Arabidopsis thaliana: one gene and its partner. The protein of the gene in region 2 interacts with the protein of the main gene of each other region in a biochemical or structural test. Each region holds a gene or a part of one and is shown on either strand. Other genes may lie near its edges.

Region 1 (6,410 bases), on a different chromosome or scaffold from region 2:
AAGTCGTCGCTCTAGAAGATGAACAAATAGAGACAAGGGTCCCAGAAGGACATAAGCGGCTAGACAGTGCAGCGACGGAGGCGACGACTGCGCAGCTAGGGTTGGTTTTGAAATCGTAGGGATTTATATTGGGTTTCTTCTAGTCTCTTAATTCATATTTTTATTCACTTATTTTGTTTTTAACTGTTTCCAAAATAATTCAAAATTGGTATTGTTGTAAATAATTTGGAAAAGAAAGGGTTATATGTATTTTATCCAAACAAAATAAGTAAGATAATTCGTTAATTATCATTTCTTTTTCTTTTTTCGAGAAGAAAACTAATTATCGTATATAATTATCATTTGAACCCCCTATATAGCAATCATCTCTTTCTTTTCATCGTCTCTTCATTTTTCTCCTCGTAGACGGAGACATCACCGATGTGACTCGAGGGGTTGATGATTAAAAATAATGGTTACGAACCAAAACTGATAGTAAAGAAGACGTTATCCGAATCGGATCTTGCTTCTACTCTCTTTTCCACGACAATTCCGATTACGTCGACCCTCATCCAGGCCCCGTCGACTCCTCTCTGGACGAAACCGATGCCATTGTCAAACATTTCGACGCCTGATGATTCCTGACATTGAAGCTTTATCGCGTGGACTTTTTCTCGTTGTTGTGCCATGCAAGTACAGTAAAACCTTTATAAATTAATATTCGATAAATTAATCATTTTTATAAAATAATAAATTCTTTCAGTATTTGGGACTAGTGTAAAAAGCGATACAAATCGATAAATTAATAAAATATTTTTTTTTTGAAAATCCTATGTAAACATATAGTCCCATCAATATCATAAATTAATAATTGTATTAAAATATCAGCTATATATATATATAAGAAATTTCAATGAAATATAATTCTAGTATCGTTTATTTTTGTAATTTAATTTAATATTTTTATTATATCAAAAAAATTCTTGTTGTTTTCAAGATATGATAATTATTTGTAATTGATTATAAAAAAATATTTTAATCATCAAAAAAAATCTTATATTTTTATAGAAATTAAAAAAATCTTACCGTAGTATTCAGTCATTTAGTTACTATTTTTCATTGGGGTTTTTAGACCAATGATTTGTTACTTTTATTTCCAACTGCATTTGTTTCATATAAAAACGTCGTGTATCGAGATTTCCTTTCTTTTCTTTATAAAGAAATATAAATTGGCCGTTATCTTTTTCCTCAAACTAAACAACTCAGATGAAACAAATTCAAAGACTAAACAAATATGTATATTTTATTCATAGCCAATTGAAATAATATCAGCATTATATGTTTATGCAATCATATCCTTTTGAGTATAACCAAAAGGAAACAAAGAGTTAAAAGACACATTCACACATCTACATGTTAGGCTTTATAACAGCACATTATTTTGATCATTTGCAACCATTTTTTCCCAAACTTGTAGTAATCTGATCAGATGAATCTTGAATACCTTCCAGATTCTTCCCTTCTGATGCCAACGAGCAAGACTGCGAAACGAAAAACACACTCGAAGAAGAAGAAGATTCAGCAGTCGAAAACAACTCCCTTTCATCGAATCCCCTAGATTTCTTCATGTCTCTCTCTTCTTCTTCCTCAGGTTTCACTCTCTTTGACCCGTTGTAACGAACAGCCGAAGGTACTTGTTGGTCATTAGAAGACACAGATGGGCAAAGACCAGGTTCTTTAATGGTATTAGCCCCTAAGGCCTCGAAGCTATCTGCTACAATCTCATCAGGTGCTGCTCCGATCATGATCTGTGCTTCACGGGTTCTTGAAATAGCTTTAGCTAGTAGCTCACGAGCTGTGTCGATGTCTACAATGGGTTTCGCATAGTTTGTTCCGAGTTCCACACCAGAAGCTTTGAGTACGGTTAAAGGAGCGTCCCATGGATGATGGATCCATTCAGTTGGCAATCTCGCAAGCTCGGGAAGCCATTGCCTTATGTACTCACCTTCTGGGTCATATTTGGCGCCTTGTAACTGAAATAAAAACAGAGTTTTCATAGACTTCAGAACTAAATCAACCAAACCAAATAAGCTGAAAAATAAAATAAAAAACGAATGCATAGCAAAAACTGGTATTAAGCTTTGAATTCTAAACTATAAGACAAGTTTTGTAGTTTACCGCGGGATTGTCCAAGCGATCAAGCTCGTGGCCATCGGGGATACTCCCAGAGATATACTGCCAGCCAAGGATGTCACATTCCAAATCAGCATCCAAAAGTGTATCCCAGAAATACTTCATTCCCCATTTCCATGGAAGGAGAAGAAACTTCACAGCAAAGCTTGAAACAATCACTCTTATTCTGTTATGCATCCATCCGGTAGCCCAAAGCTCTCTCATTCCGGCATCCACCAACGGATAACCGGTCCTGCCTTGTCTCCAGGCCTTGAACTTATCAACATCAGCATCCCAAGGGAAAAACCGAAGATGACTCAACAACGATTGCTCGTGAGTAAACGGGAAGTTGAAACATATATACCGAGAATACTCTCTTAAACCGATTCCCCTAAGAAAAAGATCTGCACTTTCTTCTCCTTCACTGTTCTTATCTCTTGCCCATATAATTTGTTTCATCCGGGCACACTGGAAAACGTGTCTGACGCTTATTTCCCCGAAATGGAGATACGGAGAAAGTAGTGAAGTAGAATTCCCAACAACTTTCTTGCTGTTCTTTGCATAATCTATCAACTGCTTCTCGATGAACTCATTTAGTAACTTATCAGCATTGCTCCATCCTGGAGACCAAGCTCTAGTTAACAACGCATTGCTCGGTTTCTCGGCCTCATTCTCCAGCCCTAGTTCTTCAATCGAACACGCCCAAATCGCTTCAGCCGCTAACAAAGAAAAAGCCATAAACTTTTACTACCGCTTATGTCCTGAAGAAATCAAAAACGTTTTAGCTTTTAAGTAATACTCTTTAAGGTTTTACCTGCAGTTATTGGCATCAACCGCCAAGGAGGAGGAAGCATAACGGATTCAATCGACATATCTAAGCATTTCTTCCAGTAAGAATTGAAACTCGTAAAAGGTTTGCCCTTTTCGCAGTATATCTCCCACGGTTCATACAATAGATCTCCATTGTAGCTTTGCACAGAGATCCCACGTTCCACCAGCTTCTCCTTTACGGTATGGTCCCGAACTAACGAAACAGGATCTACAACAAAGAAAAACGTGATCGCATCAACCTCAGTTGCACTTAGACTACACTAACTTAATAAGAATATATATCCTTTGAATAAGAGATGAAAGAGTATATACCATAGAGGTGGTTAAAGACGACTTTTGTAGCACCGGTAACGCGGATACAATCCAAGATCGCTGAAATCGTGTTGTGGGTTTTGATTAAAGTGAGGTCAGATCCAAGAGCCTTCAAGGATTGAGATAAGTGAGCAAGTGATTGTTTCATCCACCATCTTGAAGCTCTTCCAGGATAAAACTGTCCTTCTTCTTCAGGACACCAAATGAAGACAGGAAAAACAGATCCTTCGTGAGCAGCTGCTGCTAATGCAGGATTATCCTCAATCCTTAGGTCTCTTCTAAACCAAACTATAGTCTTTTTGTCCATCTTCATAGTTATTATGATCACAGATGAATCAAAGATCAAATCAGCTAAAATTCCACACTCTAACCAAGTTGTTCCATGATTTCAGACCTCAACCTCCTCCAGAGAATAGTTCTATAACAATAACAGAGAATGATTGATAAGAAATCTGTAATCTTTGAGTCCTAAAATCCAAAATAATCTACAAAAAAACATAACAGAGAGAGATTCGATTTAATCCTAATCCTTTTAAACAGAGCAAGCAAGAGAAATTCAATTGAGAGAAACAAAAATCAAAAGCTGGAAACTTTTTACCAGAACTCAAATCAGAGTGGATATCTCTCGGCGACAAAGATCTTCGAATCAAAGACTGTGAAAGTTATTTTAGTGACTTGACTCTTCTTTCTTCCTATTTTGGGTATGCAAAGTTAAAGATTTGAGATCTAACGGAGACCAAAAACAATACCCATATGAGAGTATGAATGTTAATAATTGTGCAATATAATAATCACAACGAGACAAAAGTAGACAACTTTATCCACAACTAGTGGCGTGTGTTCTTATAATAGCGTTTTTTTTACCGACATCTCATCTTTGATTTGCTCATCTACGATTTTATCGGGATCATGTACGAACTTTCTCTTGTGAGATATTTTTTTATAAGAGATCGAATTTTGTTTGAATGTTGAGTGGGCCTAAAGCGCAGTGAAGATACTCTTATCTTCTTATGCTAGAGAAAAAAGTTTTTTAACGTTGGGGCCGAGGACGGTGGTTCATGAACTCGATTCTGGTCATGCCCACTTTTGTAGAATCCATTAAATATCTAAAGTCTATATGGCTTAAAGGTGAGAACTTGATTCTCATTAGTCATTACCAAGTAGAATCTATAATCAAAATCCACTGCTTTTACTTTACAAAAGGAAAAAGGTAAAGATAAAAAAGTTCTCTCAAACTTTGAATCCTCGTATACCCCTTATTAATGGACCATTGCCTACGGTTTATGATTCGATTTCGGATAGTCGTAAAATAGAAGCAATCTAAGTTTTTTGGATGTATATTTTGGTGTCAACTTGGTGTTTGGTTATAAAATATTTGGGTGAAGAAAAATAGAAGTAAAATTAAAATAATCCACATTAGAATTTCAGTTTAATCTAGTGATTTGGTTTTGGTATGAATCTGCAAGAGTAGCATTTCTTTTTGCAATTGCAACACAATAACACCATTCCTCACAAATCACAATTGCACAAACCCATTATCGAAGAGCTCATCAATTTTGGGCTAATTGCTAAAGCAGAAAAAAATAATCGCAAAAGATAACCATGCAACTGCCAATTTTCTTCTTTTCATGGGTAAACCAAATCAGACACATTGAAAAAAACGATATCCTGGTTTAGAAACAGACCAGGGACAATACTCATCAAAGAGACCAAAGAGGTTATAAAACAGTGTTTGGAGATCTTTCAAACACACTTCTTATTCGGACAAAGCCCTGAAAGGCTTTAACTGATCTCACACCTTATAGATGAAAATTTTGCTCCAGAAGGGTTTAAGAGAGGCATGAGTACGCCAAGTCCTTCTCTTCCTTGAGCTCCTCTGCAGTCAAATCCATCTTCTTCCTTGATACTTCATCAATCGGAAGGCCTAACCAAACAAAATACACATTAGGGTCTGCAGAATCTAGGATTTCATAATTGATGAGCATTTGAGTTTGTAAGTGCGTCATATTTACCTTGGACAATACTCCAGTCTCCATTGCGACAAGTTACAGGGAAGGAGTAGATAAGTCCTGATGGAACGCTGTAAGAGCCATCGGAGTATACTCCCATGGAAACGAACGTACCCTGACAATTTGAATCAAAGAAAGAACTCATATTAGATTAACTGTTACAAAAAAACAGCACTGCAAATAACGGGGAAGAGTTTTATTATGAACCTCTGGAGTTCCAAGGACCCAGTCACGGATGTGGTCACAAGCAGAGCTAGCAGCAGAGAGCGCACTAGACAACTTCCTCGCCTTGATGATTGCAGCTCCACGTTGTTGAACTGTAGAGATAAATTCTCCGTCCAACCTACAGAATGAGCAATATATTTAAGTGAAACTAGATTTTGCTTCCAGAGAAGAGAAAGGGTCTTAAGTTCTATGGCATGTTATACATACCATGCATCGTCCTTGACGAGCTCACGGACAGGCTTCTCTCCAGACGAGGTCTGCACTTTAGCATGGTTGACATCTGGGTACTGTGAGGATGAGTGGTTTCCCCAGATGATCACGTTCTTAACATCAGACACTGGCACGCTCAACCTCTCAGAGATCTGTCCCAAAGCCCTGTTGTGGTCAAGCCTTGTCAAACAAGAGATGTTCTTTTCAGGGATTGATGGTGCAAATTCCTTGAGGATCAATGCGTTGGTGTTTGCCGGGTTGGCCACAACAAGAACCTGAAAAAAAAAAGACAAAACGAGAGCGAATGTGTGAGCAAGAGAGTCGTAAACTAGAACCCAATAGAGAACACAAAGCATCTGTTACACTCCAATGAACAGAGAAGATTGGATGCAGTGGCTTCATTTAACTTAAAAAGCAAACAGATCGTATCACCTTGCAGTTAGGAGCGGCATGCTTCTCCAAGGCAGCAGCCTGAGACTTGTAGATGGAAACATTCTTGGACATCACATCCTTCCTCTCCATACCTTCTTTCCTCGGGAAACCACCAACCATAACAGCAACATTGACTCCAGTACATCCCTCAACGGCATCAGTTGTAGCAACAACACCTGATAATAATACACATCAAATATTCATCTTCTCCTTTCCCACTTATACAAAACAACTTATGAC
Region 2 (7,589 bases):
CCTTCATCTAGAGACACAAAAACCACAACATGACTAACCTCATCCTTATCTTCGCCGCACAAATCCTCCTTTTCTATGCCGTTGCTTCCGTCGGAGATGAATTGGGAAGAACCATGAACGGGAAACACCTTGGCCCTTACAAAAAGGAGAAACTCACTCATCTCCGAGTCTATTGGCACAACTCTGTAAACGGTAGAAACCCTAGCTCCGTGATGATCCAACAGCCGGTCTTGAACTCTTCCTTATCCGGATCGATCACCATGATGGACGATCCACTAACATTCGATGTGCCAAGGAATGCGACTGTGGTGGGCCAAGCCCAAGGGATGTACGTAGCAGCGGCCCAAGGAGAGATAGGCTTCTTGATGGTGATGAACTTTGCTTTCACTACGGGGAAGTACAATGGGAGTACGATAACGATTCTTGGGCGGAACGTGGTGATGTCGAAGGTTAGGGAAATGCCGGTGGTCGGAGGTAGTGGAATCTTTCGATTTGCTAGAGGTTATGTCGAGGCTCGCACCAAGTCGTTTGATCTCAAGGCCGGTGTTGCCAATCTACATATACATTTTTGCAGCCATTTTAACAAATAAATCTTAGAGTTGAACTTATTTACAACCCAATGCCATTAGCATTAAATTTTTTTTTCAAAATAATTAATTTTACATTAAATTCTTAATTTAAATTGTCAATCACATTATCAATCAAATTTAATCCAAACAAACTGCACATCAATCCTTTAAAATTAGCATAAAAGTATTTTGTTAACAATATTTTAAAACAAAGTTTTTTGTTTAAATAAATATTGTTCTTACTAAACGTTTTTTGTTTAAATAAACAAATCATGTATTTGAACTTATTTACAATGTCATGCTACTGACATTAATTATTCAGGCATGAAAATATTTAATTAAAGATTTAAATCTTCTAAATTCTTGCTTTTAGAATTATTATATCATTACCTAAAAGGCAAAAAATATTAATTTTTTAATTATTATTATTTATATATTTAAAATTCATAAAACACTATTAATATTTAAATTTATAAAAAGTTTAATATATCAAAAAAATTAACATCATTATATAATATATAGAGTTTAAAAAATCTCAAAAAAAAAATCGTCATATTTTGTGATTCAAAATTTTAAGAATGAACATATATTAACTAATTGGCGAAAAATGTATGGATTCAACGTCCCGCAACGAATAAAATATTTTGACAATGATTCATAAATATATTATAAATAAGATCAACATTAATAAAATAAATAAATTTTTTTTGTGGACGGGTTTGGCGGGACGAGTTTGACAGGATGTTACTTAGTAACAATTGTAAACTATAAAATAATTTACAAATTTTTACATATATTAATTTTAAAAAATGAATTGTCTCCGCGGTGAATCTAGTGTTGAATATAATTGTTATATTCTGCATTACTGAAATAATTAAGTTTGGAATATTGTTCATTTGATTTCATTACTTATTTGTTTTTATGTCTCGTTTTGTTATGAGAGTGTTATTGTCTTTTCCCAAGTTAAATAATGTATTTTATCTTGTAATGGTTTGATTTTATTCATCTAAAAAATAAATAAATAAGTAGTTGTTTATATATACATTAAACATACATTTTTTGGTCAAATTAAGTGGCACAAAGGCTCTACTCCGCGTTAATTTGGAAAATCATCAACTGATTAGCGAATAAATTATTTGAAATTTTGATAGAAAATAAATGTTCAAATAAATATAATGATTAGTTAGCCCAATCACGAGCTAATCAAACCTTAAAAAAAAAACACCAAATCAAACCTATTTATTGTCTAAAACCAATTTTGATATTACACGGAGAAATTAAATAATACATTTAGCTACTTTTTTGTTTGAAATAGAAAAGACATTCAAAATAGTAAACATATAAAACCATTGTAAGAAAAGAAATCAAATTTTTTATTTCTTAACAAAAACGTGAAACGTTTGTTTCCAAATTAGTCGCAAGTCACGGACCGTGTGACGCAAAAAAAGTCCATTCACATCATTATTACATAATTTTTGTCATAAGGAAAATTAATTTGATTTTTCCAAATTTTTTTGGTTCTTCCTCTTCAGAATATCTGACGTGGCATAAATATCGCCTTTTTCACATCGCCTGTCTTCTTTTCTCTCTCCATTTTGGGAACTTTCATCCATAAACTTCTATTTTTCTCATCGCAAACTTGAACCGTCGTAACCCTAAATCGCCATCTTCATCATCGGCAAATCGAATCTCCGATTATATATCAAATAGCTTACCAAATCCGACATGACCCAGGCCCTCGTTTTCGGAGGACTATAATGATCGGACTCTTCGTGTCCCGTCTCGATTGCATGGGGTTTGAGCTATGCCGGAGCTTCGCCGTGGAGTCCGCCGTGGCCGTGTTACTGATGCTGTAGCTCCCAATCAGCTTCCGCAAACACCTACAGAAAAGAAACCGAAGAAGAGTACCGTTAAAGCTCCAAAACCGGTTGCCGGCGGAGTTACAGGAGTTGCAGAGAGGCCGAGGACTAGATTAGCGGCGAGGAAATTAAAGGAGGAAGATAAAGAGATACCTCAGGAGATTCCGGTTGTTGTGCCGTCTAAGGATAGCGATATCGATAAAAACAAGGGTAAAGAGGTAGTCGTTGAAGAAGAGAAGAAAGATATGGCTATTGGTAATGATAGTGGTGGCTCTAACAAGGCGGCTGCTCAGGAAGAAGAAGGAAATACTGCTCCTTTCCCTGAGAGGGTATAATTGATTTGCATAGTTTTTGTGTTGTTTGGGGTTATTGAACTTTTCATTGTAGGCTTGCTTATCATCTTTCTATGGTAATGACTAACGATTCCGTATCAGGTTCAAGTTGGAGGATCACCACTATATAAAGTTGAGAGAAAGCTGGGGAAGGGTGGTTTTGGACAAGTATTTGTCGGACGTCGTATTAGTGGCGGTAATGATCGTAGTGCAGGAGCTAGCATCTTGGAGGTAATATAACTCAGTCTGCGTTTACTGCTGTGGAGGATTGTCACCATAAATATCATTCTATTAGCTTAGTTATGCTTACAGTGTCTCACATCTTCACTTTCTTATATAGGTTGCTCTAAAGTTTGAGCATAGGAGCAGCAAGGGTTGCAACTATGGTCCTCCACATGAGTGGCAGGTTTACAAGTGGGTGTTTCGATTCTCCTGTCTTTCTTTCAATGTTTCTTAAATTCATTTACCTGGATTGTAGGTGCTTCCTTGACTTGAAATGTGAAATTGACATTTTACTTTTATTGTGAACAGCACCTTGGGTGGTAGCCATGGAGTCCCTAGAGTACATTTCAAAGGCAGGCAAGGAGACTATTATGTCATGGTACTGGATTCCCCCTTTCTCCTATTTCTGTTTTTTTCTCCTGTCTGTATCATTGAAGTTAGATCCTCTCTTCTTTGTTTTGGCCTCAGGTTATGGACATGCTTGGGCCTAGCTTATGGGATTTATGGAATACTTCAGGGCAAGCGTGAGTCTCCATTACACATCCTTGGGGAGCTCTTGTCTCTTTTTCAATTAGCGTTGTTTCCATACATGAGTATCCTAAGTTAATTTGGATTCTTTTGGAATTGTGACTTGAAATGTGGTGTTACTCCCTGTTTTTAAAAAAATACATAAGTCCATACTGAGTAACATTTTGCTTTTAAAAAATCGACTTCCCTAACAATTCTTCTCCCCCTTTTTGCTTTGCAGAATGTCCTCGGAAATGGTAGCTTGCATTGCGGTTGAATCACTTTCCATCCTTGAAAAGATGCATGCAAAAGGGTTTGTAATTGAACTTTATTTTTGTTTTTGTATTTAATTAGGTTGTCCGAGGTTTCTTCTGATATCCTGTTTGGAGTCTCGGCACCTCTAAGTTCTTATGTTTTCTCTCTATTAACTAGCCTAACAGGTCATGTTTTACTTCGGTTTCAGTTATGTGCATGGGGATGTTAAGCCAGAAAATTTCTTACTCGGCCAGCCTTCAACGTCTCAAGAGAAAAAACTGTTTCTTGTTGATTTGGGACTAGGTTGATTTCATTCTCTTTGTTATTCTTGCTAGGTTCTTCTTTACCTTTCTCATTTTTCAACCAACTTTTCAGCTACAAAGTGGAGAGAAGGTGGTAGCGGACAACATGTTGAATATGATCAACGTCCTGATATGTTTAGGTAATATATTTTCTACTGTTACCTAATATAATTTGTTTTATACTCGCTCTTACCTTTTGTTGAATCTCTCTCTTCTTAATTTTTATAGAGGGACAGTTAGATACGCAAGTGCACATGCTCATTTAGGGAGAACTGCTAGCAGAAGGGATGATCTGGAATCATTAGCATATACACTGATCTTTCTTCACCGAGGTAGATTGCCATGGCAAGGATATCAGGTACTGCAGACCTATCATTTTGTTTTGTAGAATCATGTTGTTGCATGATTCTTTCTCTGCTAATCCTGTCTCTTACTCAATTTTCAGGGAGATAACAAGTCATTCCTTGTTTGCAAAAAGAAGATGGCAACATCGCCGGATATGCTTTGTTGTTTTTGTCCCCCTCCTTTCAAACAATTTCTTGAGATCGTGGTAAATATGAAATTTGATGAAGAACCCAACTATGGAAAGTTAGTATCTCTGTTTCAAGACCTCTTGGGCGAAAATCCGGCAATTAGGCCTATAAACACAGAGGGTGCTCAAAAGGTGACATTTTCATGCTGTATATCTTTCCCTTTCGTTCCTATTTGGATATCTAGGAGTTGTTGTTTAACATCTTGTAATTGTTTTCTTTTGTGCTAGATCATATTCCAAGTTGGCCAGAAGCGAGGTAGGTTGAGCATTGGGGAGGAAGAAGAAGATGCCCCTAGGAAAAAGGTCCGTCTAGGAGTCCCTGCAACGCAATGGATATCGATTTACAATGCCAGGCAACCAATGAAGCAGAGGTAAAAAAATTCATGGTTAATTATTTATACAGTCAGTTAACTGCTGGGACTGCGTTTGTGTCTCATTTTTTCTCTTGGTTATATTATAATCTTGGATTTTTGGCCTTAATGTGTCTAAAACTATTTTTGGACTCACAATTTATGTGTTTAACCAGGTATCATTATAATGTGGCTGATATAAGACTGGCACAGCATATTGAGAGAGGTATTGCAGATGGTTTGTTGATAAGCTGTGTATCATCATGTTCGAATCTCTGGGCATTGATAATGGATGCTGGAACTGGCTTCACGCACCAAGTCTATGAACTCTCTCCTGTATTCTTGCACAAGGTTGTCTGATGTTTCTCTGTTAGTTATTTTTATATCTGTGTTCTGTCAAGATGATCTTACCTGAGAGTGAATTCTGTTTTGAATCAGGAATGGATTATGGAGCAGTGGGAGAAGAACTACTACATTAGTTCTATTGCTGGTGCAAGCAATGGAAGCTCCTTAGTTGTCATGTCAAAAGGTATCTACACTTTTCATGAATACTTTTGAACACTTTCGTCATTATGGTATTTTACTAGTCTCTGAATTTGTGGCTTATTCTATGTTTGGTTTTCAAATGAATTATGAAGGTACGCAGTATACACAGCAGTCTTACAAAGTAAGCGATTCATTCCCGTTCAAGTGGATAAACAAGAAATGGAGAGAAGGCTTCCATGTAACCTCAATGGCAACAGCTGGAAATCGATGGGGTGTTGTTATGTCCCGCAATTCTGGCTACAGTGAACAGGTTAGACTTCACCGATATAGATGAATTTCTTCCGTTTCCTTCAGTTTTGGATCTGTCGCGTTGATTTCTAATTCTCCTGTTTTCGCTTATATCTCCTCTACAGGTTGTGGAACTTGATTTTCTGTATCCAAGTGAAGGCATCCACAGGCGTTGGGATGGTGGATTCAGAATCACATCAACAGCAGCCACAACCGATCAAGCTGCTCTCATCCTAAGCATCCCACGTCGTAGACTTGTTGATGAGACACAAGAGACGTTACGTACCTCTCAATTCCCCAGCACACACGTCAAGGTGAGTAGAGCAGCTATAAAAGATTACTAATCAATATCTTGAACTCTTTTTCTCCCTTCCCATGAACAATACCGGAGATGCAATTTTCTGTTGTGCAGGAAAAATGGGGAAAGAATCTCTACCTTGCATCGTTAAGCTATGGCCGAACTGTATCTTGAGACTTATTAGTAAAAACTGTTGAAGGACGAGAGAAATATGTTTCTAAGTCTCGGCTCCTATTCCTTATCCAACCCTATGGCCTCTCAGGCTCTGTTGTGCTTCTTCTTTTTTTTCAGTTGAATTGTGAAGCAAAAATGTGGTGATTGTGTTGTTTATTCCCCCCTTGTGAAGGGGATTGAGCCATAATCACCAGTTTACCTACACATTTCCCTCGAAATTGCTATATTTAATTTTTAAATCAAGAAAAGATATTTTTGTCACCAAATATTCTATAGTTGTCCAATTCTGTAACCTAATTATCGAATTCATATCGAAACAGGCTGTTCTCTCCATACACGACCTGAAACCTTCAACTTCAGCTCCTTGTCGGTGGTGTTGTTGTCGGTAGAGAAGAACAAAGCCAATTTGCGAGTGATGATTAAGCCATCTTGACTATCACGAACCGTCTTGTGACTGTCACGAATGCTCCTCGGCACGCCTTGCCATGTCAGCTTTCTGCCATTCCCTCCGACCTGCAAACTATAGCTGAAGCTCATTGCCTCTTCTTCATCTCCCATAAACTGCATGAAGGCCATGTACATTGGTGTTTTCCTCAGGTGAAACGCTTCGAAGTACAAGCAGAATTTTCGACCACAACAATCGAGAAGCTGCATCGTTTCAAGTGGGTTAAAACTTAAAAATTCACAAAGTTGCAGAAACAGAGCAAGATAATCAGTTATATAACTTACTGTTAACATCCAAGTAGCATGATGAAGATGTTTAGGATCATGATGAACATATCTGTGACTGAAACTACGCCCATCACTCATTTCAACATTGTGATCATTCCTTAGATGCAGTAGTAGCCTTTGAATATCTCCTGTGACATCACACTTGGCTCCTGAGTGTGGACAATTGTACGGTTTCTTCTTAGGGTTTTCGATGTGGTCGTTGGGACACTGCAATAGGATCTGTATATTACTTGTTGTGTTCTTATTGTAGTAGTATCAATATGATATGATATACATACCTCGTAGATTGCAGAGGATATCTGGTTTGTATGAACCGGAAAATCGAGCAACTCATGAACCCGAGATTCCACCTGAAGGTCATTGATTCGAGGTTCCATTTCGCAGGAATTAATGAATTCACAAGCCAAGTGATGAAGTGAAAGAGGAGAAAGGTGTACGTTTGTACATATGTACATACAATCAACCACATAGATACGTTTACGTTGTGTCAAGTTTCAACGTCCAATAATTGGAGACAACGTGGAGTAAATGGTGGATATAGGAGTTGGTTCCGGAGATTACGTACGTCAAAGAGCTTAATTGTAGGAGAGAAAATAATACAAACAAAAAAACATATAGTAACATGACTTGGGATTGAAATTACAAATTAGTCAAGGTTCTTAGTTACACGACACTCTTGAGTT

What was found. The genes of interacting proteins can lie anywhere in the genome.
Region 1: of the proteins of AT3G13670 (region 2) and CRY2, one has a biochemical effect on the other in vitro, tested with the Arabidopsis thaliana proteins (one study listed by BioGRID).

What each region holds. Positions count from the first base shown.
Region 1 is NC_003070.9:1,184,295-1,190,704, forward strand, and holds CRY2 (cryptochrome 2), read right to left. Parts: upstream 4,403-6,410; 5' UTR 3,893-4,402; intron 3,780-3,892; exon of another isoform or gene 3,713-3,779; 5' UTR 3,608-3,712; coding exon 3,295-3,607; intron 3,191-3,294; coding exon 2,966-3,190; intron 2,871-2,965; coding exon 2,158-2,870; intron 2,013-2,157; coding exon 1,425-2,012; 3' UTR 1,218-1,424; downstream 1-1,217. Other genes in the region: c-NAD-MDH1 (Lactate/malate dehydrogenase family protein), read right to left, coding at 5,124-5,218, 5,307-5,418, 5,511-5,646, 5,736-6,013, 6,171-6,346.
Region 2 is NC_003074.8:4,467,061-4,474,649, forward strand, and holds AT3G13670 (Protein kinase family protein), read left to right. Parts: upstream 1-2,092; 5' UTR 2,093-2,373; coding exon 2,374-2,757; intron 2,758-2,862; coding exon 2,863-2,991; intron 2,992-3,100; coding exon 3,101-3,174; intron 3,175-3,291; coding exon 3,292-3,361; intron 3,362-3,450; coding exon 3,451-3,506; intron 3,507-3,730; coding exon 3,731-3,802; intron 3,803-3,952; coding exon 3,953-4,047; intron 4,048-4,119; coding exon 4,120-4,186; intron 4,187-4,274; coding exon 4,275-4,404; intron 4,405-4,491; coding exon 4,492-4,710; intron 4,711-4,806; coding exon 4,807-4,949; intron 4,950-5,104; coding exon 5,105-5,279; intron 5,280-5,366; coding exon 5,367-5,457; intron 5,458-5,501; exon of another isoform or gene 5,502-5,566; coding exon 5,567-5,724; exon of another isoform or gene 5,725-5,827; coding exon 5,828-6,016; exon of another isoform or gene 6,017-6,114; coding exon 6,115-6,174; 3' UTR 6,175-6,480; downstream 6,481-7,589. Other genes in the region: AT3G13662 (Disease resistance-responsive (dirigent-like protein) family protein), read left to right, coding at 30-545, 1,405-1,410; AT3G13672 (TRAF-like superfamily protein), read right to left, coding at 6,481-7,113, 7,185-7,283.